Linked DNA regions of Callithrix jacchus. The protein of the gene in region 4 interacts with the protein of the main gene of each other region in a biochemical or structural test. Links are inferred from orthologs where the notes say so. Each region holds a gene or a part of one and is shown on either strand. Other genes may lie near its edges. The genes, in order: ARNT, FLII, SAFB, ESR1, TRIM24, NRIP1 and PHB2.

Region 1 (4,041 bases), on a different chromosome or scaffold from region 4:
GCCTCAAAAAACAAAAAGGAAACAAAAAAACTCCTCATTGTGTCCCTATCACTGACCAAAGGAAGTTAGCCACTCTGCAAATACTTTCTTCATCCATTGCCTCCAGTTTTTGCTGTTGCTATCTCCCATACCAAACCGTTAACACCCGGATCCTTTTATATTACAAATTCCATAGCAGGCATTCAAAAATTAGTCACTGCCGGGCACGGTGGCTCACGCCTGTAATCCCAGCACTTTGGGAGACCGAGGCGGGCGGATCACGAGGTCAAGATATCGAAACCATCCTGGCCAACATGGCAAAACCCCGTATCCACTAAAAATACAAAAATTAGCTGGGAGTGGTGTCGCGGGCCTGTAGTCCCAGTTACTGGGGAGGCTGAGGCAGGAGAATTGCTTGAACCCGGGAGGCGGAGGTTGCGGCGAGCCGAGATCGCGCCACTGCACTCCAACCTGGCGCCTGGCGACAGAGTGAGACTCTGTTTCAAAAAAAAAAATAAGTCATTTAACTTTTTTCACCAAGGACAAAAGTCTTTAAAAGGGGGAAAAAACTGGAAAGGATTACAAATCACCATATGAAGTTTAAGTATTAGAGCACCTACAGGGGATTTACAAGATAAATTGTTTGCAGGGCAACCACTCAGACGAATCCACCAGCAAGCGAAGGTTTTTAGTAAAATACCTATTTTTTTTTTTTTTGAAACGGAGTTTCACTCTTGTTGCCCAGGCTGGAATGCTGAGGCACAAACTTGGCTCATTGCAACCTCCGCCTCCCAGGTTCAAGCTTTTCTTCTGCCTCAGCCTCCCAAATAGCTGGGATTACAGGCATGCGCCAATTTTGTATTTTTAATAGAAACGGGGTTTCGTCATATTGGCCAGGCTGGTTTCGAACCCCTGACCTTAGATGATCCACCAGCCTCGGCCTCCCAAAGTACTGGGATTACAGGCGCGAGCCACCTCACCGGGCCTAAAATACCCGTTTTAATTGTATTTCAATGACATCACTTGGTCATTGACCTCTTACGCAAGGAGGGCGGGGTTAGGAAGACAGCTGGACTTCTTCCTCGCCCTCCCTCCCGTGGACTGGCTGGCGCAGTGACTAGCCCTGCCCTTAGTCGATTTGGCATTTTCAGTGGTCAGTTTTTTCCTAGGAGGCTGGCCGTGTGTTGACTCCGCCCACCGTACAGGCGGGGTCTCTCCGCTACAGAGGCTGGGATGGTGGGGGTTGCTGAAGCCGCCATCTTGGATTCCGCGGTAGCGGAGGCAGCGGTTAGGCGCCGCTTCTGGGGAGTGGCCTTTCTCTCCCCCTCCCTCCCGGTTCGGTGGCGGTGGCTCCTCCCACTGGGGGGGGTGGCGCGGCGGCGGTGGCATCCACGGCCATGGCGGCGACTACTGCCAACCCCGGTGAGGAGACGGAGGACTGGGGCGCCTCTAAAGGGGAGGGGCTGAAGGGGCTGACAACTGAGGAGACCCAGGACTGAGGGGACGGAGCTGGAGCTGAAGGCGCCGGGGCGGGGCAGGGCCGCGAGGGGACAGTGGGGGAGCGGTGACCCGGGGAGGGGCCTGACCCTGAGTACTTGGGTAGACTCGAGGTGGAGGGAGCGAGGGAGTTGGGGGCTCCCTGTCCTGAGCTCCGCTGGAGCTGCGGCCGGTGCGGGGCTGGCCCCCCCTCGCTTCTCGGGCGGCGTCTGGTCTGTGATGTGGTCCTCTCTTAACCCTCTGCTCGCTGGAGCCGCTTGATGCCGAAAACTGTAGGCAGAGCGGCTCGGTTTGCTTTAAGGATAGTTTGGATTTAGGGCTAGCTGGACCATATTGCTCTTTAGTTGAGGTGTTGCTTCCAAACATTTAAAGGTTTAGAATTTAATTAAAAAAATTAAAAATGGACATTATTTGATATATACGACGTTTCTTTAGGCTGTTACCTCCCACCCGCAACCCCGGACTATGCTTTGAAACTTAGGTCTTGTTTTAAGAAGGCCTGTAGTGTCTTTGCCTGCTGAGGGCAGGGGTTTGTATAATGGTTGTGGTTCCGGACAGGTCTTTGGTCCACGGCCCCAGGTTTAAATCTTGTTAGGCCCGGGTCGATGCAATCTCCAAACTCTTTCAGAAAAGTTTGATTCCACACCGTTTCTCAGTTTCAAATAATAACCAAATATCAAAAAGATCTCACCTTTCTTGTCTAAGAGATGGAGTAGGCTTTAGTGTAGGTCTAGAGAGATGAGATCTTCAAATTACTAGTCCCAGCCCTCTTTCCTCTATGTTACAGTTATTTCTCCTTAGAAGGTATTTCATTTTAGGGGCCTAGTTCATCTCGCTGACCTTGGTCATTTTTGCAAAATAAAGTCTATCCTTTCCCAGAAACCAGTATATTTGATAGCCTTAAAAAAAAAAAAAAAGCCTTGAGGGGTGTGTGTGTGTGTGTGTGTGTGTGTGTCTGTTGTGGGGTTGGGGGGTGGGCAGAGAATTTCTTGAAAATACAACAGTGGGAGTGATTCCCCCATCCCCACGTTGAAATTTAAGTTAGATTTGTTTTTCATGTTACTGAAAGGTGGTATTATTTTGTGATACCCAAATTTTGATAGGACAGTTGAATCACTGAAATTTCTTTTTCACCATGTTTCTGGGAACAGCTGTTTTAAGAAATGGTTAATTTGTTACATGTCATCTTTTAAAAATCTTTACATTTTTTTTTAAAGGAAAGGGAGGTAAAATTAATGGCAAAAATTACATTGCAGGAAGTGCTGAGTGATGGAATAAAACTGTAAAACAGGAAAAATACCGTTAACGGCAAACCTGACCTTGTAGTAAAATAACCTATCCGTGAACTATGGAGTAAATAAACAAGATTTTTAACTGATCACACATTGCAAAATACTTATATAATCCTAGTTAAATTGCAAAGCATTTCTCATTAAAAAGTGGCCCGGGTAAACAAGTTTTAGTTCTTATGTCAGAAGCTTTTTTCCAGCTGTGTGGGTGGGGTTGCTATATTTTGTTTTGTTTTTTAAACACCAGCAACCAGAATGACAGCCTCTTGACCGTATTTTCGTAAGCTGATCAATATCAGCTTAAATCTCAGCAGAAAGAGAGAGAGAGAGAGAGAGAGAGAGAGAGAGAGTGTGTGTGTGTGTGTGTGTGTGTGTGTGTGTGTCAAGAGCACACAGAATCCTTGTTAATGAAACAGTTTTTTTTTTTCTCTTACTGTGCTTTGGCTGCCTTGCTTCTGCAATTTTTAGATCCTTTCTTTTTTCTTTTCTCCTCTATTCTTTTTGACACAGGGTCTTGCTCCTTGTTCTGTCACGCAGGCGAGAGTGCAGTGGCAAGATCACTGCTCATGGTAGCCTCCACCTCTGGGGCTCAAGTGATCCTCTCACCTCAGTCCTTAACCTCTCACCTGAATAGCTGGCACTGCAGGTGCCTTGCCACTATGCCCACTTAATTTTTAAATTTTTTTTGTAGAGACAGATGTCTTACTATGTTGCCCAGGCTGTTCTTGATCTCCTGGTCTCAAGCAAGACTTGTCTCAGTATGTCAAAGTTGGGAATACAGATGTGAGACACTTTGCCTGGCCAGATTTCTTTTTTGATGTTGAAAAATTCTGTCTCTTCTAACTTATTGATCCCATGTTCAGTTCAAACAAATCAAAAGATGTATTTTCTTTTTTTTTTCTCCCTTTGTACTTTTATATCAAGAGGAAGAGATCATAGATACATTGTGGATTTTTTTTTTTTTTTTTTTAAATAGAGATGGGGTTTCACCCTGTTATCCAGGATGGTCTTGAACTCGACCTCATGATCCACCTGCCTCAGCCTTCCAAAGTGCTGGGATTACAGGTGTGAGCCCTCATGCCCAGCCTACATTGTGGATTTTTTCAGCAGTCTGTTGCATTTTGGGAAATGAGATTAATGAATGGAGGGACATTATGTGGAAATGTACTGTGCTCAGTGAAAAGAAAGTAAATGGTTTTCAGGTCAGAATTCTTTGCTACATTGTCATACCTTATTTCCTTAGAGCCGTTTTAAGGACCAGGGACATCATGAGTTT
Region 2 (4,196 bases), on a different chromosome or scaffold from region 4:
AACATGGTTCAGCCTGTATTGGTTATTATTATTGTAGTTACTGTTCGTAACGGGTGGTAAGATTTTGGATTTCTTTTTTTTTTTTTTTTTTTTGAGATGGAGTCTCGCTCTGTTGCCCAGGCTGGAGTGCAGTGGCACAATCTTGGCTCACTGCAACCTCTGCCTCCCAGGTTCAAGCAATTCTCCTGCCTCAGCCTCCTGAGTAGCTGGGATTACAGGCACGTACCACCATGCCAGGCTAATTTTTGTATTTTTAGTACAGACGGGGTTTTACTGTGATGTACAGGATGGTCTCAAACTCCTGGCCTCAAGTGATCCACCTGCCTGTCTCCCAAAGTGCTGGAATTACAGGCGTGAGCCACCAAGCCCAGGTGTCAAGATTTTGGATTTCTTTACCTTATTCCCAGTCTAATTCTCTGACCCACATGGGTTACTTTACACAGGGCACTGCTGTAACCTCTAACAAATGACACCTCTTGTAACACCTGCCACATGGAAGTGGGCAGAGATGCTGGCCCAGCCTGGTGTCTGGCCCAGGCTTCACATCCCTGGCTGGACACTTGCCTCTACCCCAAGCCCAGTGGCCTCCTGGCCAGCACTCACGCGCAGTGACGGCAGGCTGGACAGCTCCCCATGAAGCGTGGTCAGGTTGTTGTGGCTCACAGACAAGTGTTCCTGGGCCAGGATGGGAAGCACAGGCTCAGCAGGGTGCGTGGGGTGTCCAGAGTCCCCACCTACCTCCACAACTCTGCACCATCCAGGAAGGCCTCAGCCACACAGGCCCAATTCCCCCTGCAGCCTCCCTCCCTCACAGACCTGTCCTCTTTTTGCATACGTTCCTGGACAGGGTGTCCACTCTCTTTCTGCCGGCTTTGCTCATAGCTGTCAGTGTTCTTCCTCTCTCTGGAGAATTTGTCTCCCTTCTCCACAAGCTCTGCCCATCTGGCTCATCCATAGGGACCCTCCCTGCCTGCCCAAAGCCCCTTACCAGCTTCTGCAGGGCGGCCAGCTCCTCAGGCAGGTAGCAGAGGCCAGTGCGGTTCAGCTTCAGCCATCGCAGGCTGGTCATGGCCTTGACATTCTCAGGGAAGTAGCCACCCTGGGGGAAGGATGTGATGGTGAAGCTGGCCTGGGATACAGAGCCCCTGCTCACCACCTTCTCTGGCTCCCACTGCCCACAGGAGCCTCTGGGGACTAACAGAACCAACTCCCACCAGCTGAGAGAACACAGACAGGTCATTTCATCACTGTGCCTCAATTTCTTCACCCATAGAATGGGACTAATAAAAGCCTCCCTTTCACTGTGACAAAAGTATTGGCCTAAGATCTGTCTCTGCTACTGGACTCTGGGCCCCAGGAGGACCAGGACAAAACTGGCTTGTTTCAGGTGAGAGCCCAGCACCTGGCTTTGTGGGCAGCTCCGCTCAAATTCCTCCAGCCAGCATTCCATGCTCTGACTGGCTGCCTGGGGTGGATGCTCCCTGCTTCAAGCCTTTGCGAAGGCCCCACCTGTGTCCTCACCCTACCATCAGCACACAGGCAATTCATGGTCAGGGCGAAAACCTTGCTTAGGGAGACCATGGCCCCCCACCCCACATCACTGCACTCCCCCCCACCCTTGTGAACACCCACTTTGGCATCTCCAGCGCTGTGGCACCAAGTCTGGGGCAGCACGTGCCTTCCCGTGCCCTCGGCTGGTGTTCCTTTCCCCCCAGGGCCACATTCCCAGCTGGTGACTCAGACTCTCCCCGCACAATGAAGAGGAACAGAGACCCCAGGTAAGGGTGGTGGGGATGGGGACAGGGAAAAGTGGTGTGGCCACCTGTACTCGGGGTCAAAGGTGTGTACACAAGCAGGTAAACTCAGGAAAAACCTGCCTCCTTGGCCCCAGCCCCAGACCGACACCTCAGCCAGACCCTGCCGGTCACCCACCCTGAAGGTGAGGCTGACCCTCCAGCCAGCTCTCCCCTCCCCTCTTTCTCTGCTTCCCCTTCGGTTGGGCATTGCCCGCTTCATTCGGAGCCCTGGAACCACCTCTCTCCCCACTGGCTGCGGAGGGCTGAGCTGCCGTGCCTTGTCTTTCTCAGTCCAGTAGCTGCTCAGACAACTGCCACCCAGCACCTGGCACGCCGGCCTGACACTCTCCACACCAATAAATCTCATTACACCCCTTGCGTCCAAGAAGGCGACTCTGAAGCCCCTTCACCGGCTGAGAAAGCCCGGGCTCTGAGAGGGGAAGTGATCTGATCAGGATCACACAGGATGGCGGGTGGCGGTGACGAAGAGAGGGCAGTGATGAGTCGGTTCCACACCCGCCCCTGGGCAGCCGGGCTGCCATCCCTGAGCCAGGGCCTGGCTTGAGCGTGTGACCCCAGAAGGGCGGGGAGCCTCGCCGACCCCTAGGCCACCGTCCAGCCCAGGCGGGGAACACGAACGTGGGGTTGGGGCTACCGGCCAGGTCCCCGGCGAGACTCCGAGCCCAAGCGTCCGTCCTGGGCCTATCGAGCCTCGGTCTCCCGGTACAGGCACCGGGAAGAGTCCTCGGAGGTCCATTCGTGACCAGGGAAGAGACCCACCCCGCCCCGGCCGCAGTCCCGGGTACGCGCAGGACCCGGAGCCGGGCGGGACAGGAAGCGAGAGCCAGGCTGGCTGGGCGGAAGAGAAGGCTTGCAGGGAGGCCCGTCCCGCGCCCGTCCCGGCTTACCTTGAAGTCGTTGCCGCTGAGGTCCACACCGCGCACGAACGGCAGCACCCCGGTGGCCTCCATGGCGCCGCACTCGCTGCCTGGCCGGGCCGGGCTAGGGGGACGCCCGGGCGAGGGGTGAGGGGAGCCGCGGGCTGGGCCAACGCCGGCCCCGCCCCTTTAACCCGCCCGCGCCCGCCACATTCCGCCGGGAAGTGTAGGCTTTAGGCCTCTTAGGGCCTCAGTTTCTCCGTCTTTTCGGGGGCTGCAGACCCATCAAGTTGCCCCGGCGCCCCCTGTGCTGGAGCTGGAGGCTTCCGCAATCTCCAGGCTTAAATTCCCAGAGTCCCAGGGCAGGGGCCTTCAAGGCCGCTGGTCCAGGCATGGTCCCCTGTGCTGCTGTAGCAGACGAAGCTGGCCCTGACCTCAAGTGCTTGCACTTGGCTGACCGGTGGTAGTGAGACACCTGGGTCCTCGGGTCCTAGTTCTCCTGCTCTGGATGTAGTTTCCTCATGCGTTGTTTTTATTTTGTTGACACAGGGTCTTGCCCTGCCGCCCAGGCTGGAGTGCAGTGGCGTGATCATAGCTCATTACAGCCTGGAACCCCTGGGCTCAGCCTCTCAACTAGCTGGGAGAACACCACCACACCTGGCTAAATTTATTTTTATTTTTGGTAGACATGGGGGTCTTACTATGTTGCCCAGGCTGGTCTTGAACGCCTGGCCTCAAGTGATCCTCCCGTCTCAGTCTCTCAGACTGCTGGGATGACAGGTGTGAGCCACTGTGCCCGGCCCAGTTTCCTCATTTGTAAAATGCTTCCTAAGTTTGTCGCCATAAGCAAATGAACAAAGAATGCAAGTGTAGCTCGCAGCATACAGCAGGCGCTCAGTGAGTGACAGGTTATTACTCCGTTTTGTTTTGTTTTATTCTGTGTGCCAGGTTATTATTCCCACTTTGTGTCAGCACCCTTACGCTCGTGTCCCCCAAAGGGAGGGTCTAGAAGAGAAGCATCCGTCTTGGTCCCTGCTGTTCGCAGGGGCTTACCCTGGCTGACACATAGCAGGCCCCTAAAACATGAGCCACAGCTGTTATATGACTAGCCACCATTCGCAGGGGAGGAGGGGGTCTGGTGTCCCCATTTTACAGGAGAAAAACTGAGGCCCATGTGGAGAACGGCCCACACAAGGTCGCACGGAACAGGTGGCAGGGGTAGGCGCTTTCACCACACTGTGTGCCCCGCAGGCCCACAGGTTAAGAATGAAGCCACCAAGACACACTCGCAGAGGTGATCTAAGAGGTTAGATGTGCCTCGGCCCCCGGAAGTAAAGGGGGCCCAGACAGCTTCCTTCACACTCGGCGCTCACATTACAACGCACAGGCGTCTAAGAAGGCTGCCTGTCACAATACCCGGTCGCGGGCTCCGAATGCAGCCCTGCACCTTTAAATCCAGACTGCGTCAGAGAGTCCCGCCCCGAGGGAGCGTGTCAGTTGGCTGGGGGGCGGGGCATACCCT
Region 3 (3,500 bases), on a different chromosome or scaffold from region 4:
TGAGAAAATACTCGACATTTTGGGGGAAACTTGTAAATCTGAGCCAGTAAAAGAAGAAAGTTCCGAGCTGGAGCAGCCATTTGCACAGGACACAAGTAGCGTGGGGCCAGACAGAAAGCTTGCGGAGGAAGAGGACCTATTTGACAGCGCCCATCCGGAAGAGGGTGATTTAGATTTGGCCAGCGAGTCAACAGCACACGCTCAGTCGAGCAAGGCAGACAGCCTGTTAGCGGTAGTGAAAAGGGAGCCCGTGGAGCAGCCAGGCGATGGCGAGAGGACGGACTGTGAACCCGTAGGGCTAGAGCCAGCAGTTGAGCAGAGTAGTGCGGCCTCCGAGCTCGCGGAGGCCTCTAGCGAGGAGCTCGCGGAAGCGCCCACGGAAGCCCCAAGCCCAGAAGCCAGAGATAGCAAAGAAGACGGGAGGAAGTTTGATTTTGAAGCTTGTAATGAAGTTCCTCCGGCTCCTAAAGAGTCCTCAACCAGTGAGGGCGCTGATCAGAAAATGAGGTTTGTTTTTTCTCAGTTTTAGACCAGACGCTATCTCCTTTTCATTGGTCATTTAATGACACACATAAGCTGTTTTTTCTGCAATTGGCCAGCCAGACTGACGAAATTGTAGATTTGCTTCTAAAGAATGTTTTATTTCTCTTTGTGTATTTTACACTGATTACATAATCTTTTTTCTTTTCTCAACCTATCATGGTTGTGTTCTTTAATTCCTCCTAATTACCTTTAGCCCAGCAGAATTAATTAACTCCTGTGGGTCTGAAATCTTATGGTTAGGTCAGATTTGCAATACAAGTTTGTCGGGGTTTCATTTTTTCAGAACTAAATTTCGGGTAGGTATGCAACCTCAGCACGAATTTTATGGTTTTGAGTTTGTTTCTGCCATGCTGCTTCCTTGCAGAATGACATTGTCTTTTGTCTCTAGTTCTCCGGAAGATGACTCGGATACAAAAAGGCTTTCCAAAGAGGAAAAAGGTAGGTCACCCTGGTGACACCAGTCCCTTGGAGCATATATGGCCTAGACAGTGGCAGGTGTTTGATTCTGGTTCATCGCACACCGCGGTCCTTACCCAAGAGACTCCTGAGACTTGTGCATCCTCCTTCTCTGCTGTTAACTCTACAGGTTCTGGGTTATAGGAGGCAAGCCAGATCCTAAGAATTAATAGGTTGATTCGTGCAGACCCTTCTTTCAGAGTGTGTTGGGAGCACATTCATCCTGTAACCTTTCATTAAAGCCATTAACTGAGAAATGATTTTACCCTACCAAATTCCTTCTTGATCAGTGTTCTAAAGGAGCTAAAACGTGGGATAGATACAAAGCCATCGATGGAGACAGAGAAATGGGATGCGTTGTCGACATTGAGGTTGGCTGTTTTGCTACGTGGCCACAGTAGTTCCTCCTGTAATTAAGCGATTGCTGACTTTCTTAGGAAACCTCACATGGTCCCAACAGCCCAATTCAGTATTGTGATGGGCCCTGTGGCAGTGCTGCTGGGCCTGGTGTCGCAACTGGAGGGTCTTGGTGAGGACAGTGGTCAGGCCGACGGCCCCATTTGGTTTTTAGTGCTGTCACTGCCTTGGGAAAAGTGGAAACCATGTCAGGTTTGGAAAGGTTGTGTCTAAGTCTTGAGATCTTGTGGGTTTTTGGCTTTTGACTAGAACTTTCTTTTGAAATAGGTCGCAGCAGTTGTGGTAGAAATTTCTGGGTTAGTGGACTCTCTTCTACAACCAGAGCTACAGATTTGAAGAATCTTTTCAGCAAATATGGGAAGGTAAGTGCCAGAGCTTTTCTGGAGAAGATGCTTTGAGACCAGTGTTGTGGCCTTTACATGCAGATCCTCCTCCCCTCAGTGAGTTCTTAGGAAGGTACCAGGAGCTTACGCTTGCTAATGGCTGGAGAGGGTCTGCCCCTCCATGGCTAGAGGTGAGAGTGGTGTGGAAGCTTCCAGAGCCCACATCTCTGCTGTATTTCTCCCCTTCTCTGCACGCTTGCCCCCTTCCCTGTGATGGCTTGTGGATCCGTTTCTCTGTCCTTAGGACATCATACTCAGGCTGGGCAGCCAGGATAGGCAGGTGGGGATGCTAGTTGGCATGGCTGAGAGGCAGTGCTGTTCTTAGGACAGTGTTTGTGGTGCTGTAACTCAGAATTCAAGAACAAGGACCCTAGAGTCTGATGGGGGGGGTCCCTGACCATGGGGGTGTTGGCGTCCATTGACTGAACCTCACCTCAGCAGCTGGGGGCTCTCAAAGTTGCTGCCTCAGTTCACCTCCGGAGGCAGTTCTAGCCGCCTCTTGTCTGCAACACCTGCCTTTCTCAAACCCATGAAGGTGGAGCTGATGGTACCAGCTCCGCACTCCCAGTGCCCAGCGCGGCCGCCTGGCCCTCCCTGTGCTTTCTCCCTCCCCTCCCCTCAATGCTTCCCAGAATTGCCTCCCAGATAGCCTCCTGCATCCAGGGCTCCTCATCTCTCTCACATTCAGTTTCGGGACAGTCAAAGGAAGGAGTCCAGTCCTTTGTTTTGCACAGTGAGGCTTCATTCAACACGTTGCAGTATAGAAAACCAAGTGTTTTCCCCAATTACTGACTTTGAAGAACTTAAAAGAGGATCAAACTAAGTATGTCATTATTACGGACATAACTAAGAGCTCCGTGGGCCTCAGTGATCCAAGGCGTGTGGCCGGCAATGCCTGCGCCACATTTCCCCCGCTAGAGCTCCTTTCCTGACTCCACGGTGGCCCTTGGCAGGTGGGTGCTCAGTGGGAAGTGTTGCCCTAGAGACTGCAGTGTCTTGGGTACATTGCTGGCCTGATGTGGGTTAAGTAAAGGATCAGACCCCTCTGAGAATGTCCTCTGGGGCTGGGATTCCATGTGGCACGATGAGTGTGAATACCACCTACGGCCACTGGCTCCTTCGGGGCTTCTCCTGAGCTGTGGCGTCTTCTGCTATCAAAGGGCAAGCCTAAGTGCAGCCTGCTGGAGTTGAGAGAACCAAGTGGCGTGGAAAGACTGCCACTTTAAACCTGGGAGGTCACTGATAGGACGGGTCTGAGTTCAGCGCATGGCCTGCAGACCTGTCTTTGTGTCACTCTGTCTGTGGTGAAGTCTTTTTCTCTTTTTTTTTTTTTTTTTTTCCCATGTTGCATCACTTCGTAATTTACCGTCTACGTAGCATAACTTTATATTTGGAATCATTTCCTCACGAGTTTTAGACCATATTAAAGGAACACTGGCAGAACCCTGTTTCATTTCTCTTTCCTCTGTTCCCCTACACTGCCCTCCTAGTCCCCTTGAGGAACTAGATGAGCAATTAGAATTGGCCAGAGGTCCTTGGAGGAGTAACAGCGAAACAGCGGCATTAGTAGCATTAGTCTCCCCAGTCTAACACTGTGGGACCCCCAGTGAGGAGGCTTTCCTGTGGGCTTTTCATATTGCCATGCCCCGTTCAGGGTCTGAGCCATATTTGCCCGCTTTCCTTTGAGGTGGTAGGCGCCAA
Region 4 (4,049 bases):
ATAATCTACCTTTCACTAGGTATCATAATAAAAACAATAAAAATGCTTACAGAACCCCTGCAATGCGTTAGTATACGTGATTATTCCTTGTGTAAGTGAATCTTGTTGAGATTTTATGTTCAGTCACTTGAAATTAAATACTTTACATACTAACTAAAATGTGTCCTGCTCTCTGTATTCTGGAGAAGCTTCTCTCAGGCAAATTAACATATTCAAATTATTTTATGGGCTAACTGACAAGTATAGAGAAGATTGAAGACAGTTAAGATCATTTATTTCAAAATGTTTTAAAGCATTGATTATTTCTTTTGGTTTTCCTTCCTTCCCATGACAGTTTTGAGGTGTAGCTTACTTGGCAGACGTCACTCTGTACTGGGTACTGGGACAGAGAGCAATACAATAGCAAGAGAGAGATTCCTCCTCTGCCCCCTCTATCATTCTCACTTCCAGAAAACCAGCCTTTTTCAAGACTTGTAAAGAAGAAAAAGCGAAAATATTTTTAAAAAATCATTGAAAGTACATACTGCATAAACCACAGCAGACATGATGAGATATTAAAATTTCAATGTTATTAAAAAATTTTAATATGATTTTACAGCCCTTTTTCTACTTTAAAATGTGTATCTTAGTGTTAAACAAACAATCAATAACCACATAAATTTAAAAATTGCTGCAGGAAATACCGGACAGTTTATGGAAGGATCATGCGACAGAAATTAAGGACCAAAGAGCGTAAGGAGCTAGACCTGTGCAGGTTACCGAAGTCAAGAACCTAATTAATCAGTAACAGGAAGTGCAGAGCCGGCTTTTGAGTCCATGCCTGAGTAAGAAATTCCCAAATAACACTAACAGAAGACATTTCCTTACCCCTGCTTTTAGTTTAGCTCTAGCTAACTTTGGATTAACAAAATTTATGTGCTGAATGAATGTTTTATTTTTTTTTCCAGCCCCACACGCCTGTCTAGACTTTGAGCTTTATTAGGAATAAAGAGAAAAATCGGCTGGAGGGCGTAAAAAAATTTCAGGCAGATTAACACATGATTTACCTCTTTTTGAACATCCATTTTAGTGGAAGTGCTAAGAAAGTTAGATTCAAGCCGGGCTTGGAGAAAGCAAGGCCACCCCCTCCTCTATGTTTTCAATGAGATTTTCCAATCCTAGTCAAATGGTGGTGCTAGTTCTTTATTTTTGAGTTACTGCATTTCCTAATTTCATGGTCATAACAGCCTCCTGTCTACCGAGTCAGAACGGATTTTACCAAAACTGAAAATGCAGGCTCCATGCTCAGAAGCTCTTTAACAGGCTCGAAAGGTCCATGCTCCTTTCTCCTGCCCATTCTATAGCATAAGAAGACAGTCTCTGAGTGATAATCTTCTCTTCAAGTAGGTACTCCTATTTCTTCTCAATTTATTTTTTCCTTTTTGATATAATGTGCTACTGTTTACAAGCATATTGTAACTTCAGAGCTTACGTCTCATCTTTAAAAAATGTTCATTTTTTTCCTCTTTCTGCTCCAAGGATATTTTGCAAACTTACTGGCAAGTATTCCTAGGATGATAAAATGTGAAATCTAAACTTGGTACAGTGGAAATTCACTTCTAGAATAATATTTAGCTGAGGCAGAGGGCAATCCGACTACCCTGTTCTTAGTACAGCACACACAGGCTGCCTGTCTGCTCCAGATAACATATATCTATCGGATCCAGCACTAGCTAGGAGACACCGTGTTGTTGAGCTGTGTTAGAATTTTAAAAGTTCTTAATTAGAGAAATCTCAGACTAGCAGGAACACATTACCTGTTTTCTTAATCTTTGGAGCCATAACTTATATGAGTTTGAACTAAAAGATGTGAATGATCCATTATTTGTTTCCTAAAGGCAGTCAAGTTTTCTGAAAAGCTACACGTCCAGCAGCACAAGAATGAACGATTCTGTCTTGAAATTGGCCTCTGATTTTAAGCAAGTTCTTTTGAGTCCTGGTGTCCCATTTTCTCGGTTCCTTTTTGCCTCTCAAAGGCACACGCATAATGACTTCACCACATATAGCAGTGGGCTACTCGGGTAATGATGTGGCAGTCACAAGACAGGGCAGAATACTTTCATTTTGGTCAGAGGCATGCCACATGTCTTAGGAAATGCTCGTTGAACTGTAAGTTTCATGCTTTGTCAAGAAGATAACCAGTATTCTCTCAAGTCCATAGGAGCCGACGTGATTAAAACATTTTAAAGCAATTTACTTGATAGAAGGGTTGGGCTTTATCAGGACTTGTGATCATGGCAATGGTTCCTGCTTAAAGGTGCCAGATTTTTAACGCCTTTATGTGTCAGATCTAATAGGCTTACAGAGCAACTCTATGTATATGAGGCTGCTGGGAAACTCATCCAGTTTTGAATGTGGTATATACATATTTTAATGTTGAGAGTAAACTTAGGAAGACCAGGCAGAAGTGTTTGAACTGAATTCTGAAATGTACAGAGAATTTAAATTGGGTGAGAATGTTTGAGGTCCACGGTTCAGGGTTCATTTCGATACCATAAAATCCCCTCCTAGTTCTTAAAAGCAAATGTTTTCTTTGATTTTGTTAATGTCCTGTGAAGACCGCCGACTGGGCTGTGAAATGCATGCAGATAATGCCGTAGCGGTTGGATAAAATAATCTAGAATGTTAGATTTTCAAGGAAATTAGAAATAAAAACAATGTAGGTAAAAGGCATGATGTAGGAAAACAGCAGAATTTTCATTAAGAACACAAGGGTCGTATTTACAAGCAGAAGATTTTTCTTGGACACTTGGAGATATTTGTTTTGTTTTATTGCTCATGACAGTCAAGGAAAGGAATACAATGTTTGGGTCTTAAACTTGCAGCAAGAAAAGTCAAACTATCTTTTGTTTCTGAGAACTCTTGTCTTTGTTCAGTATTGGGTTTAGAGCTAGCTACCACCCACCTTCCCTTCAAACACTCACTCTAAACCTCCACACAGCATAACGATGTACATCAGGTGTCTGCCAAACAAGTTCACATGGTTGTCTGCAGGTCTTCTCTTAGTCTAGCTGCACTCATTTATCCTAGTTGGTCAGAACAGTTGCTTGAGTTGAGGGCCTGGTGGTTGAGTTTACTTTGCTTTGAATAGGGAACAGCTCTGCTTCATGACTCCAGATTGGCTATTTGGAAAAAAGGGCAAGGAAAAGAGTGACCCAGCTCTCAGTAGACCATCCACACTGCTGGTAAAAAATAAAATAAACAAAATAAAATAAACAAAATAAACTCATAGCATAGGATTCATCTATGGCAGTGGCGACATGGTCCTGTCCATCTGCCTCTATCAGGATAGAGTCTCCATTGTTGATCTCTGAGAAAGAGGTGCTATCTGTGAAGCCTCCTGCATATTATCAAATAAAGTGCTCTTTTCAAAGGCAGGCACTGTACAGGTAAGACTGATGATGTGTGCCTGCCTTCTGGGCAACATCTCATTAGACTTCCTCTGAATCATTCCCACTGGACACAACAGCAAAAACATGCACATCAGTGAGTTTTATGGTTCTATCTAAGGCATATAACATTTTTCTCACTGAAAGTCTGTGATTGTTTCAGAGAATGAAGGGGCTTACCCTACTCACCTGCCCCTTAAAATATTCTGCTAGAAAGCTGATACCTCTGCTCAGGTTTTCCACAGCACATCACTCTTCGGTGAGAATTCTATTAAGTGGTTCAATTCAAATCCATGGAAAAATGACTGAGTACCCAGTCATAGCTCCCACCACTCTCTAGCTGTGCAATTAGAGGCAGATTATGTCACCTCCATCATTAAATTTCTCATCTGCAAAGTTGGAGTACTAACAGTAGCTACCAGAGAGAATTATATGGAGTAAATGAGATTAAACCACTCATTAAACTCCTTGCAGTCTCTAAACATTAGAAACTCAATATGAGGAAGTTATTTCTACTCTAAGCCTATCACAGTGCCTGTTATTCAATACATGTTGGTTGAATAAATGAAATAATTCAAGATCAGCACCAAAGCTGCTAGGAGTTTATGAACATCTGATCAT
Region 5 (3,500 bases), on a different chromosome or scaffold from region 4:
CTGCCATACAGTGAGACTGAAATTTTTTTCATATATTTTAACCTAACAATATATTATGATAGTGCAGAAACAGATAATGAGATTTCAGCTATTAAGCCAGACAAAGAGATTTTTTCAAATATCAAACAATGACACTGTTTACCAAATTTTTTATAATAGAGTTTTATAAAAACATGTTATGGTTTTATTATTTTTAAATGAATTAATAATTTTAAAAATTATTTTTATTTCTAATATAAATTTTAGTGATTAGAATTTAAATGAACAAAAGCTGTTTGGGGATATATATTTCAGAGTGTAAAAGGGCTCATGAGACCAGAGAATTCCTTGACAATTCTGCAAAAATAGCCTTACAAAATGTGATATTTCACCACCTATCTGAAAAACTTTTTCCCTTAACCTTTTCTTTTTAATCAGGTTCTTTAGTAATCGAGGATAAAGAGAGCCAGCCACAAATGCCTAAGCAGAATCCTGTCGTGGAACAGAATTCACAGCCACCAAGTGGTTTATCATCAAACCAGTTATCCAAGTTTCCAACACAGATCAGCCTAGCTCAATTACGGCTCCAGCATATGCAGCAACAGGTAATGGCTCAGAGGCAACAGGTGCAACGGAGGCCAGCACCTGTGGGTTTACCAAACCCTAGAATGCAGGGGCCCATCCAGCAACCTTCCATCTCTCATCAGGTAAATTTGGAAGCAGGCCTGTCCTCACTTAGATAATTATAGTATAATTGTGCTGAGCAGCTCAAAATAATAAAGACATCCATTTTCCATCATCTAAATATCTGCATTTATAAAAATTTATCACAATAAGGATCCCTGACTTAATGCCTAGTTTTTATCCCTACTTAAAAAGAATTAAATGATTTAGCTGATAAATCTATTTTCATCTACCTACGCTTCATCGTCTTCAAATTAAAGCAGAGGATAAATGTTTATATTCCTAAATAACCCAAGCCCTGTGATTGATGGGAAAAGCTGTGTACCTGTAATTCCTATATTAGTGCTTCAGAATGATGACTACATTAAGAATCTGTCCTCTGTGAGGATGCAGTGTTTAGAAAACCACATTACATCTTAGAAACTAGGGCAGAATGAAATAGAAAAGGGAAAAAGTGTGGTTAATTATAATCTACCTTTTTCAAACTTTATTTCTGAGCAAATATACTATTTACCATTTTAATTTTTACTGCGATATTTTTTTGTAGTGGGGAGAGGGGCAAAGTCTGACTCTGTCACTCAGGTGGGAGTGCAGTGGCACGATCTCAGCTCACTACAACTTCTGCCTCCCGGGTTGAAGCAATTCTCATGCCTTAGCCTCCTCTGAGTAGCTGGGATTACAGGTGTGCACCACCATGCCTGGCTAATTTTTATATTTGTAGTATGTTGGTCAGGCTGGTCTCAAACTCCTGACCTTAAGTGACTAGCCCGTCTCAGCCTCCCAAAGTGCTGGGATTACAAGGATGAACCACTGTGCCTGGCCTCAGTCCAGTTTTTGAAGATAAAATGTATATATATATTTTTTTTGTTTGTTTTTAAAAGACAGGGTTTCATCATGTTGACCAGGCTGGTCTTGAATTCCTGACCTCAGGTGATCCGCCCGACTTGGCCTCCAAAAGTGCTGAGATTACAGGCGTGAGCCACTGCACCCTGCCCTTTTTTTGTTTCGTTTTGTTTTATTTTGTTAGTTTAACTCAGGTTACATGTGGGCAGACTTAGATTTAATACAAGTTTAGTAAGGAATTTAAAGTCTAATTTATAAAATTTGTGTGTTGTTTCAGTTACATCATTTATTTATATACTCTTTTTTTTTTTTTTTTTTTTTTTTCCTTTTGAGGTGGAGTTTTGCTCTTGCTGCCCAGGCTGGAGTGCAGTGATGCCATCTCGGCTCACCACAGCCTCTGCCTCCCAGGTTCAAGCGATTCTCCTGCCTCAGCCTCCTGAGTAGCTGGGATTACAGGCATGTGCCACACCCAGCTAATTTTGTATTTTTCGTGGACGGGGTTTCTCCACATTGGTCAGGCTGGTCTTGAACTCCCAACCTCAGGTGATCTGCCCGCCTCAGCCTCCCAAAGTGCTGGGATTACAGGCATGAGCCACCATGCCCGGCTGTGTATATTCTTTTTCTGCAAAGAATTTGAAGTGATTTACAGTATAGGATACAAATGAAATTAAGCAGAGTTTACTAAAAGAGTCAAAGTATGCAGACATAGGCTAAGAATTCTCATACTGAAAAAGACAACTCAGCTCAGAACGTCCTGCCAACCAAAGCAAAAAGGAAACAAGAATAATAAAATGAAAACATACCAATTAATTAGGGAGAGAAAGTTTTAATAGTATTTTGCTAGCACTAAGAGGAATGGTTCTTTATGAAAAAGCAATTAAATGGCATAATGCAATTTTTTTGGTAGAAATTTAAAAAAATAGAAATGGTCTTTCTTTATATGGGACTCATACTTTAATCCTCAGTAAAAGTTGTGGGCATTTGTAGATCCAGAATGTGTTACATGGTGTATGTAAAGGTCTGAGGTAATGTATTTGAGGTTTATAATGATTTGACTAATAATCCTAATAATTGGACTAAGAAGGTATGTAAAATCCAAGGGAATATTAGCATGGCTGTTTAAAACTTCGTTTCAAGCCATAGTCTTAAAAAAATTAAGTAGCAAGCAATGTAAAAGATCTTTGAGTGTTCCATGGGAAGATAATTTTATACTTTATATACTAGGAGTATATCTAGCAGAGTAGAAATTTTGTTAAGAAAATTGAAGGCAGAATGACATATTTTAGATAGACTGCAAAGATGCCTAAAATTTTTCTGAAGCTAGATAATGGAAATGAGAAAATATTAGAATGCCCAGTGCTAAGCACTTGCAAGTATTAATATTTACCTTCTAAATATTTAGTAGTTGATTGATAAAAGGAATGAACCCATCATTTGAATTCATTGCCTTTTCACTAAGAAGTCAAGATCCGGCTGGGCACGGTGGCTCATGCCTATAATCCCAGGACTTTGGGAGACTTGAGGTTGAGGATCACTTGGCTCCAGGAGTTGGAGACCAGCCTAGGCAACATAGGGAGACCCCTCCCCCCATCCCCATCTCAGAAAAAATTAGCTAGGTGAGGTGGTAGCACATGCTTGTAGTTCCAGCTATCTTGTAGGACTGAGATAAGAGGGATTGCTTGAGCCTGGCAGGTCAAGGCTGCAGTGAACCATGATCCAGCCCAGTGAGAGAGCAAAACGCTGTCTTAAAAAAATTAACTGAGGCAGTTAGTAGACATTATATGAAAATAGTTATATAAGCAGTGACAAAAGGAAGTGACTTGAGCCTTTAGCCTGATTTTCTCAGAAATTTTCTTTTGATCTTATTTCAGTCTCTATAATTTAGTGCTATCATCTGTACAGTCTCTATTATATAACCTAATTTTCACATTTAGAACAAAGTACTCTTCGCATACTGCAGTTTTTATATCACATACTATTCTTTTTCTGTTGGT
Region 6 (3,500 bases), on a different chromosome or scaffold from region 4:
GGCAAATCTTTTTAAAATAGTGGCATTGGGATCTTAAGAAACTCTTTTCTCACCTCTTTATACAATTGAAATTTATTTAATTGTTGCTGCCTCCTTTCTATAGCTTTTTCTTTGGGTATTGTTTTTATCATTTCAATCAATTTAACAATTTGATGCAATCAGATAATTCTTTCCTAAAGTTTGACTTAGAGGTTAGCATTTTACCCAAAAAGCTACAGGGTAGTCTCTAAATTAGAATTTATCTTTTCAATTCCATAGGGACCAAGGTATTTGTTGGTAGAACTGAAGAGATCTAATAACCAGAACAAAATGTTCTGGCTTCTTGAAAAACAATCTTCATGGAATTTATTCCAGCTTTTCTTCCAAAGGTGTAATGGCCCCCTTCCTTAGGTCAATTTTGACACTTCTCTATCAAGTTTTCAGAAATGTAATGAGTTCTTGCTTCTTCTGTTGTATATGTGTTAGTGATAGGGGATTGTTCAGTATCTTCTTAGATAATATCATTGGAATATTTTTCAAACTGTGACTAAAATGTCTTTGGCATTTTCCATTTTATGCCCTCCCTGTCTTCTGTATCTGTAAGGAATGGACGTGACATTAAGACTTTTCCATAGAACACATGAGTAAGGATTAAATAACAAACTATATGAAATCCTTGATAGCCCTGAACAAGCATCTAAAGGGCATCTAAAGAATTATTCTACTCCATCTTTAATAAGTCATGGTAAAAACTATGGGTAGGTAAGTTTATGACTGTATTTTAATGTTTAGGAATATCATTAAGATTGTCACACTTTGAACAGGCTCACAAAATAATCTTCAACTTGTTAGTACTTTGATTTTTTTTGAAAAACAGAAATTCTAAAAATCACTTATGGGATATCTGGTGTTTGGGGGATGATGTCTGAAGTGAATCTGTTCTGTTGGCCTCAACCCCACATCAGACTCATCGGAGTCTGCATCTCTTTTTCTTTTTCTGCACATCTACTTTTGTTTCTTCCTAAGTGACCAGTAATGTAGGAAGCAACTTTTAGCTCCCCTATAGAGCTATAAACCTGTAAAGGAGACTTAACATTCACATTAATTTGCAGAAAGGTGCTTATGAAAATTCAGAGACTTGGCAGGCTTTGGAAGACGTTTATATAACATTAAAGAATGCTCTCTTCTCTAAATGATTTGATCATTTTAACAGTATAGATTAACCCACAGGATTTCTAGTAGAGATTTTCATTTGAATAGAATGGCAATAAAACAAATTACTAAGGTGACTAATGATATGTATATATAAACTTACAAATGCCATATTATTTTGCTTGTAGGTATCATGACATGATTCTAGTTCTGCACCTCCTTAACTATTCTTATTTTTATTTTTTTTAGAACACTGATATTTGCATTTAATGGGGAATAAAAGATGAAGAAGGAAAAAGAATATATTCACTAAGGATTATATCTGCTTACTGCTACAGACCTATGTTTTAAGGAATTATCCTCCTTTTTGCTTAGAAGTTCATCAGCTCTGTGGTCAGACTGCATTTATCTTGTCATTGCCAAAAGAAATCCTCATCAGAATGTAAGAGTATGTCTCTCTCTCAGTGCTATGGAAGGTGATAAACTGATACTCAGTTATTAAAGTTACATCTCACCGCAGAAAACCATTCTTCAAAGTGAATAGAAACCAAGCCCTTGTGAACACTTCTATTGAACATGACTCATGGAGAAGAGCTTGGCTCTGATGTGCACCAGGATTCTATTGTTTTAACTTACCTAGAAGGATTACTAATGCATCAGGCAGCAGGGGGATCAGGTACTGCCATTGACAAAAAGTCTGCTGGGCATAATGAAGAGGATCAGAACTTTAACATTTCTGGCAGTGCATTTCCCACCTGTCAAAGTAATTGTCCAGTTCTCAATACACACACATATCAGGGATCTGGCATGCTGCATCTCAAAAAAGCCAGACTGTTGCAGTCTTCCGAGGACTGGAATGCAGCAAAGCGGAAGAGGCTGTCTGATTCTATCGTAAATTTAAACGTAAAGAAGGAAGCTTTGCTGGCTGGCATGGTTGACAATGTGCCTAAAGGCAAACAGGATAGCACATTACTGGCCTCTTTGCTTCAGTCATTCAGCTCTAGGCTGCAGACTGTTGCTCTGTCACAACAAATTAGGCAGAGCCTCAAGGAGCAAGGATATGCCCTCAGTCATGATTCTTTAAAAGTGGAGAAGGATTTAAGGTGCTATGGTGTTGCATCAAGTCACTTAAAAACTTTGTTGAAGAAAAGTAAAGTTAAAGATCAAAAGACTGACACGAATCTTCCTGACGTGACTAAAAACCTAATCAGAGATAGGTTTGCCGAGTCTCCTCATCATGTTGGACAAAGTGGAACAAAGGTCATGAGTGAACCATTGTCATGTGCTGCAAGATTACAGGCTGTTGCAAGCATGGTGGAAAAAAGGGCTAGTCCTGCCACCTCACCTAAACCTAGTGTTGCTTGTAGCCAACTGGCATTACTTCTTTCAAGTGAAGCCCATTTGCAGCAGTATTCTCGAGAACATGCTTTAAAAACACAAAATGCAAATCAAGCTGCAAGTGAAAGACTTGCTGCTATGGCCAGATTGCAAGAAAATGGCCAGAAGGATGTTGGCAATTTCCAGCTCTCAAAAGGAATGTCAAGCCATCTTAATGGTCAGGCAAGAACATCATCAAGCAAACTGATGGCTAGCAAAAGTAATGCTGCAACATTTCAAAATCCAATGGGTATCATTCCTTCTTCCCCTAAAAATGCAGGTTATAAGAACTCACTAGAAAGAAACAATGTAAAACAAGCTCCTAACAATAGTTTGCTTTTACATCTTCTTAAAAGCCAGACTATACCTAAGCCAGTGAATGGACATAGTCACAGTGAGAGAGGAAGCATTTTTGAGGAAAGTAGTACTCCTACAACTATTGATGAATATTCAGATAACAATCCTAGTTTTACAGATGACAGCAGTGGTGATGAAAGTTCTTACTCCAACTGCGTTCCCATAGACTTGTCTTGCAAACACCGAGTTGAAAAATCAGAATCTGACCAACCTGTTTCTTTGGATAACTTTACTCAATCCTTGCTGAACACTTGGGATCCAAAAGTCCCAGATGTAGATATTAAAGAAGATCAAGATACCTCAAAGAATTCTAAGCTAAACTCACACCAGAAAGTAACACTTCTTCAATTGCTACTTGGCCATAAGAATGAAGAAAATGTAGAAAAAAACGCCAGCCCTCAGGGAGTACACAATGAGGTAACCAAGTTCAATACACAGAATTATTCAAGGACTTCTGTGATAGAAAGCCCCAGTACAAATCGGACTACTCCAGTGAGCACTCCACCATTACTTACATCAACCAAAGCGGAGTCTCCCATCAATCTCTCTCAACACTCTCTGGTTATTAAATGGAATTCCCCACCATATGCCTGCAATACTCCATCTGAAAAGCTAACAAATACTACATCTAACCA
Region 7 (4,145 bases), on a different chromosome or scaffold from region 4:
ATGCAGGCAGATCACTTAAGGTCAGGAGTTCAAGACCAGCCTGGGCAACATGGTGAAACCCCGTCTACTAAAAATACAAAAACTAGCTGCGCATGGTGGCACACACCTGTAGTCTCAGCTACTTGGGAGGCTGAGGTAGAAGGATGGCTTGAGCCCAGGAGATGGAGGAGACTGCACGACTGCACTCCAGCCTGGGTGACAGAGCAAGACCCTGCCTCAAAAAAAAAAAAAATACCCGCACTCTGGGAGGCCGAGGCGGACAGATCACGAGATCAGCTCCCAAGTAGCTGAGACTACAGGTGTGTGCCACCATGCCCAGCTAGTTTTTGTATTTTTAGTAGACGGGGTTTCACCATGTTGCCCAGGCTGGTCTTGAACTCCTGACCTTAAGTGATCTGCCTGCGTCAGCCTCCTAAAGTGCTGGTATTACAGGTGTGAGTCACCATGTCCCACCCTCATGCCAATCTTAAAACTGGGAGTAACCCCTCTTCATTTTACTTTACTTTTTTATTAAATTGCCTCTTGCATCATTAGAGACCAGAGTGGCCAACATAGTGAAACCACGTCTCTACTAAAAACACAAAAAAGTTAGCCTGGTGTGATGGTGGTGTGCGCCTATACTCTCAGCTACTCAGGAGGTTAAGGCAGGAGAATCGCTTGAACCGGGAAGGTGGAGGTTGCAGTTAGCCGAGATCGCGCCACTGCACTCCAGCCTAGGCGACAGAGCGAGACTCCGTCTCGAAAAAAAAATGAGTACTACCATCCCAGGATATCAAATCAACAGACAGACAGCCAAGCCACCTTTCTCCAAAAACATTTTTCACCCCTTTCTGCTTTCTCTATCCACTCCGAGCCCCTCACCCTCATTCCACGGAGTCCCAACTTGCGATTTACCAGTTCTCCACTTCCTTTCCTAAACTACCTTGACTGTCTCCAGACTGGCCCCTTCCAGCACCACAATAAGCCTACGGCCTCCGATCTTGTTTCCTGCCCCGACTCGGGGCCGCTTGGGGGCCACAGCATCCCAGTCCTCCAACTGCTCCCCACAGCTTCGCTCACGAGGCTTGAATCCACCACTGGGCGCGGCCATCTTGCAACCAGACCGGAAGTTGCGCTAACGCTCTTAAAGGAGAACCCCGCGGCTTTTAATCACAAATTTCCTTCCGGCTGCCATTTTGAAAGTGGGCTTGGAAATGGCGATGACTTACTGTCTTGCGCTGCCCTCCCTGAGAGGGCAGCCTTCCAGAAAGGGGCGGGACTTCCGGATACGCGATTCCTGTGCGCGAAGTTCGGGTCCGTAGAGGGCTCAGGGGGAGGGTTTCGAAGGGAGCGCACTTCCGGTGCCCTTTCTTTCCCCAGCATTAAGGGTCCGAACCCTCGTGTGAAGGGTGCAGTACCTAAGCTGGAGTCGGGTAGAGGAGGGCCGGCACCCCCTTCTCACTTCTGGTGCCGCCAGCCTCAAGATTAGACATGGCCCAGAACTTGAAGGACTTGGCGGGACGGCTGCCCGCCGGGCCCCGGGGCATGGGCACCGCGCTGAAGCTGCTGCTGGGGGCTGGCGCCGTGGCCTATGGTGTCCGGGAATCCGTGTTCACCGGTGAGCAACCTTCGCCCGCTCGCCGGACCCTTCCAGTCCCTCCCGCAAACCCCTTGCCGTGTTTTACCCGGTCCCCGCGCCCCACCGGAGTCTAGCACTTACTCTGAGCAGCGGCCTGGCCTGATCACCACCCCTCTCCCCACAGTGGAAGGCGGGCACAGAGCAATCTTCTTCAATCGGATCGGTGGAGTGCAGCAGGACACTATCCTGGCCGAGGGCCTTCACTTCAGGTAATGGCGGCCAGAGCCAACTGACCCTGACCTTTCACCCTTGACGCCGACCCAGCAGTGGCTGTAGTCGGACGTGCAACAGGATTCAGCGCTGCTCTTTTCCCTCCTCATCCCCACTCCCAGGACAGTGGGTGCTGCGCGAACCTCCAGCAGTACATAAACTGTTGCTTTCCAGACGGACAAGAGAATCTCTCCTTGTCTGTGGTCATGGGGAGGAGCAGGCCAAAAAACACGTGGTGAGGGGAAACCAGGCAAAGCTAGTGAAACTGCGGTCTCTCTTTTTTTTCTCTCCCCGCCCCCCTCTTGAGAGGGAGTAGGGAGTCTTGCTCCATCGCCCAGGCTGGAGTGCAGTGGTGCGATCTCTGCTCACTGCAACCTCCGCCCCCTGGGTTCAAGTGATTCTCCTGCCTCAGCCTCACGAGTAGGTGGGATTACAGGTGCCCACCACCACACCCGGCTAATTTTTGTATTTTAGTAGAGACGGGGTTTCACTATGTAGGTCAAGTTGGTCTCGAACTTCTGACCTCAAATGATCTGCCGGCCTCAGCCTCCTAAAATATTGGGATTGTAGGCGTGAGCCACTGCAGCCTCTTAATACGTATCCCTGTCCCCTCCAGGATCCCCTGGTTCCAGTACCCCATTATCTATGACATTCGGGCCAGACCTCGAAAAATCTCCTCCCCTACAGGCTCCAAAGGTAGGTCTGAGCACTTGGTAATCCCATGGCAGGTAGGATAATCAAAGAATTGTATCTGCTGTTACATGCACTAGTACACTCTGTTCTGGAGAAGTTCGTCTCCATTCTTGACTAGGTCACCTGTTCTTCTAGACCATACATAGAAGCTGTGCTTTGAGTTCCCCAGACCTCTTCCTCCTACACACACACACACACACACACTCACACACTGAGTTAGGTAGCTCACCAGTAATCTGTAATGTACTTCTTTGTACTATACCTAGTACGGGTCACTTATTCATTTACTTGACTGGGCACTGGGAATAAAGGATTCATAGAACACACTCTTGTCCCCAAATCCTTACAGGAAACATGATTATGGTACAGCATAAAAGCACCCACTTTAGCAGTTGCACAGAGTACAGAGGGGAAAAGAGGGGTCAGCTCTGCTAGTGACAGGGTTGCAGTTCAATTCACAGTAGGTGAAGATGCATTTCACCTGTGCTGTGTCACGTCTTCCTTGTCAGCCTGATTAACTCTCCTCCCCCTAGGGTAGTGCCATGCTGTACATCATTGCTCAGGGCATAGAGGGAGGCACATGAAGGACAAAGTGCTTGGGAAAGGGTGTTTGGCCTTGAACAGCCACTGCTGACCTCAATCTCAGACCTGCAGATGGTGAATATCTCCCTGCGAGTGCTGTCTCGACCCAATGCTCAGGAGCTTCCTAGCATGTACCAGCGCCTAGGGCTAGACTACGAGGAACGAGTGTTGCCGTCCATTGTCAACGAGGTGCTCAAGAGTGTGGTGGCCAAGTTCAATGCCTCACAGCTGATCACCCAGCGCGCCCAGGTCTGACTTCCACCACCGTCTGCATGGTGTCAGCCTTTCCCTCCTAGGTCCGGGGTATTGGGAACTAGGAAAGGCAGCTTATTAGAAAAGGATTGTCACCCTACTGCCATTTCCACCTAAAAGCTGTGCTAATTGCCCCTGTGAAATAAGGAGAGCCAGTGTTAGAACTCGATAGCACTTGGCGTTAGGAAGCATGGAGGGAAATGTCCCAGTCTTGGCTTTTCCTGCACCTCTTTCAGCAGATAGGCATATGTTACAGGTTTGCCCAACAGGAAGCTAATGCAATTCGTATTGTATTGGGGAGAGTGAAGGATTAGGGGTCACTGTGAGCTGGAGCGGTCCTGTCATCTCTCTAAGGTGTCTCATCTGTCACATGAAAAGATTGAATCAAGTCCCTTCCAACTCAGATATTGTGGTGAGGCACTGAGGAAGGGTTGATGATTTTTCTGCCATTCTCAGGAGATCTGTTGTTAAGATGGTCACACAACACAACTTTCCTTTCAGTTCTCCAGTCCCCTCAAACCACCCTGCCCTTTCCCTCCTCACCCCCCACCCAGGTATCCCTGTTGATCCGCCGGGAACTGACAGAGAGGGCCAAGGACTTCAGCCTCATCCTGGATGATGTAGCCATCACAGAGCTGAGCTTTAGCCGAGAGTACACAGCTGCTGTAGAAGCCAAACAAGTGGGTGAGTCGCAAGAGCAGTGGGGCGAGGGCTTCCGAGGTGCAGGAGGAGGAAAGACTCCATGAAGGGGCTCCTGACCCAGGACCGGGTCTACCTGACTCTCTCCCAC

The links.
Region 1: the proteins of ESR1 (region 4) and ARNT form a complex in vitro, tested with the Homo sapiens proteins (2 studies listed by BioGRID). The link is inferred for Callithrix jacchus from reciprocal best matches to the Homo sapiens genes ESR1 and ARNT.
Region 2: the proteins of ESR1 (region 4) and FLII form a complex in vitro, tested with the Homo sapiens proteins (2 studies listed by BioGRID). The link is inferred for Callithrix jacchus from reciprocal best matches to the Homo sapiens genes ESR1 and FLII.
Region 3: the proteins of ESR1 (region 4) and SAFB form a complex in vitro, tested with the Homo sapiens proteins (2 studies listed by BioGRID). The link is inferred for Callithrix jacchus from reciprocal best matches to the Homo sapiens genes ESR1 and SAFB.
Region 5: the proteins of ESR1 (region 4) and TRIM24 form a complex in vitro, tested with the Homo sapiens proteins (4 studies listed by BioGRID). The link is inferred for Callithrix jacchus from reciprocal best matches to the Homo sapiens genes ESR1 and TRIM24.
Region 6: the proteins of ESR1 (region 4) and NRIP1 form a complex in vitro, tested with the Homo sapiens proteins (4 studies listed by BioGRID, with this or other methods). The link is inferred for Callithrix jacchus from reciprocal best matches to the Homo sapiens genes ESR1 and NRIP1.
Region 7: the proteins of ESR1 (region 4) and PHB2 form a complex in vitro, tested with the Homo sapiens proteins (3 studies listed by BioGRID). The link is inferred for Callithrix jacchus from reciprocal best matches to the Homo sapiens genes ESR1 and PHB2.

The regions. Positions count from the first base shown.
Region 1 is NC_133519.1:10,774,372-10,778,412, reverse strand, and holds the start of ARNT (aryl hydrocarbon receptor nuclear translocator), read left to right. Parts: upstream 1-1,241; 5' UTR 1,242-1,376; coding exon 1,377-1,401; intron 1,402-1,565; exon of another isoform or gene 1,566-1,669; intron 1,670-4,041. UniProt on the Homo sapiens protein: Required for activity of the AHR. Upon ligand binding, AHR translocates into the nucleus, where it heterodimerizes with ARNT and induces transcription by binding to xenobiotic response elements (XRE).
Region 2 is NC_133506.1:82,688,214-82,692,409, forward strand, and holds the start of FLII (protein flightless-1 homolog), read right to left. Parts: upstream 2,801-4,196; 5' UTR 2,768-2,800; coding exon 2,705-2,767; exon of another isoform or gene 2,452-2,704; intron 1,523-2,451; exon of another isoform or gene 1,451-1,522; coding exon of another isoform or gene 1,403-1,450; intron 1,100-1,402; coding exon 989-1,099; intron 676-988; coding exon 604-675; intron 1-603. UniProt on the Homo sapiens protein: Is a regulator of actin polymerization, required for proper myofibril organization and regulation of the length of sarcomeric thin filaments. It also plays a role in the assembly of cardiomyocyte cell adhesion complexes.
Region 3 is NC_133523.1:5,347,249-5,350,748, forward strand, and holds part of SAFB (scaffold attachment factor B1), read left to right. Parts: coding exon 1-507; intron 508-931; coding exon 932-981; intron 982-1,683; coding exon 1,684-1,778; intron 1,779-3,486; coding exon 3,487-3,500. UniProt on the Homo sapiens protein: Binds to scaffold/matrix attachment region (S/MAR) DNA and forms a molecular assembly point to allow the formation of a 'transcriptosomal' complex (consisting of SR proteins and RNA polymerase II) coupling transcription and RNA processing.
Region 4 is NC_133505.1:158,537,427-158,541,475, forward strand, and holds the start of ESR1 (estrogen receptor), read left to right. Parts: upstream 1-1,249; 5' UTR 1,250-1,382; intron 1,383-4,049.
Region 5 is NC_133512.1:108,786,538-108,790,037, reverse strand, and holds part of TRIM24 (transcription intermediary factor 1-alpha), read left to right. Parts: intron 1-417; coding exon 418-686; intron 687-3,500. UniProt on the Homo sapiens protein: Transcriptional coactivator that interacts with numerous nuclear receptors and coactivators and modulates the transcription of target genes.
Region 6 is NC_133522.1:21,972,342-21,975,841, reverse strand, and holds part of NRIP1 (nuclear receptor-interacting protein 1), read left to right. Parts: intron 1-1,380; 5' UTR 1,381-1,707; coding exon 1,708-3,500. UniProt on the Homo sapiens protein: Modulates transcriptional activation by steroid receptors such as NR3C1, NR3C2 and ESR1. Also modulates transcriptional repression by nuclear hormone receptors.
Region 7 is NC_133510.1:21,236,024-21,240,168, reverse strand, and holds the start of PHB2 (prohibitin-2), read left to right. Parts: upstream 1-1,345; 5' UTR 1,346-1,470; coding exon 1,471-1,597; intron 1,598-1,699; exon of another isoform or gene 1,700-1,742; coding exon 1,743-1,827; exon of another isoform or gene 1,828-1,835; intron 1,836-2,444; coding exon 2,445-2,524; intron 2,525-3,167; coding exon 3,168-3,352; intron 3,353-3,909; coding exon 3,910-4,039; intron 4,040-4,145. Other genes in the region: EMG1 (ribosomal RNA small subunit methyltransferase NEP1), read right to left, coding at 923-1,090.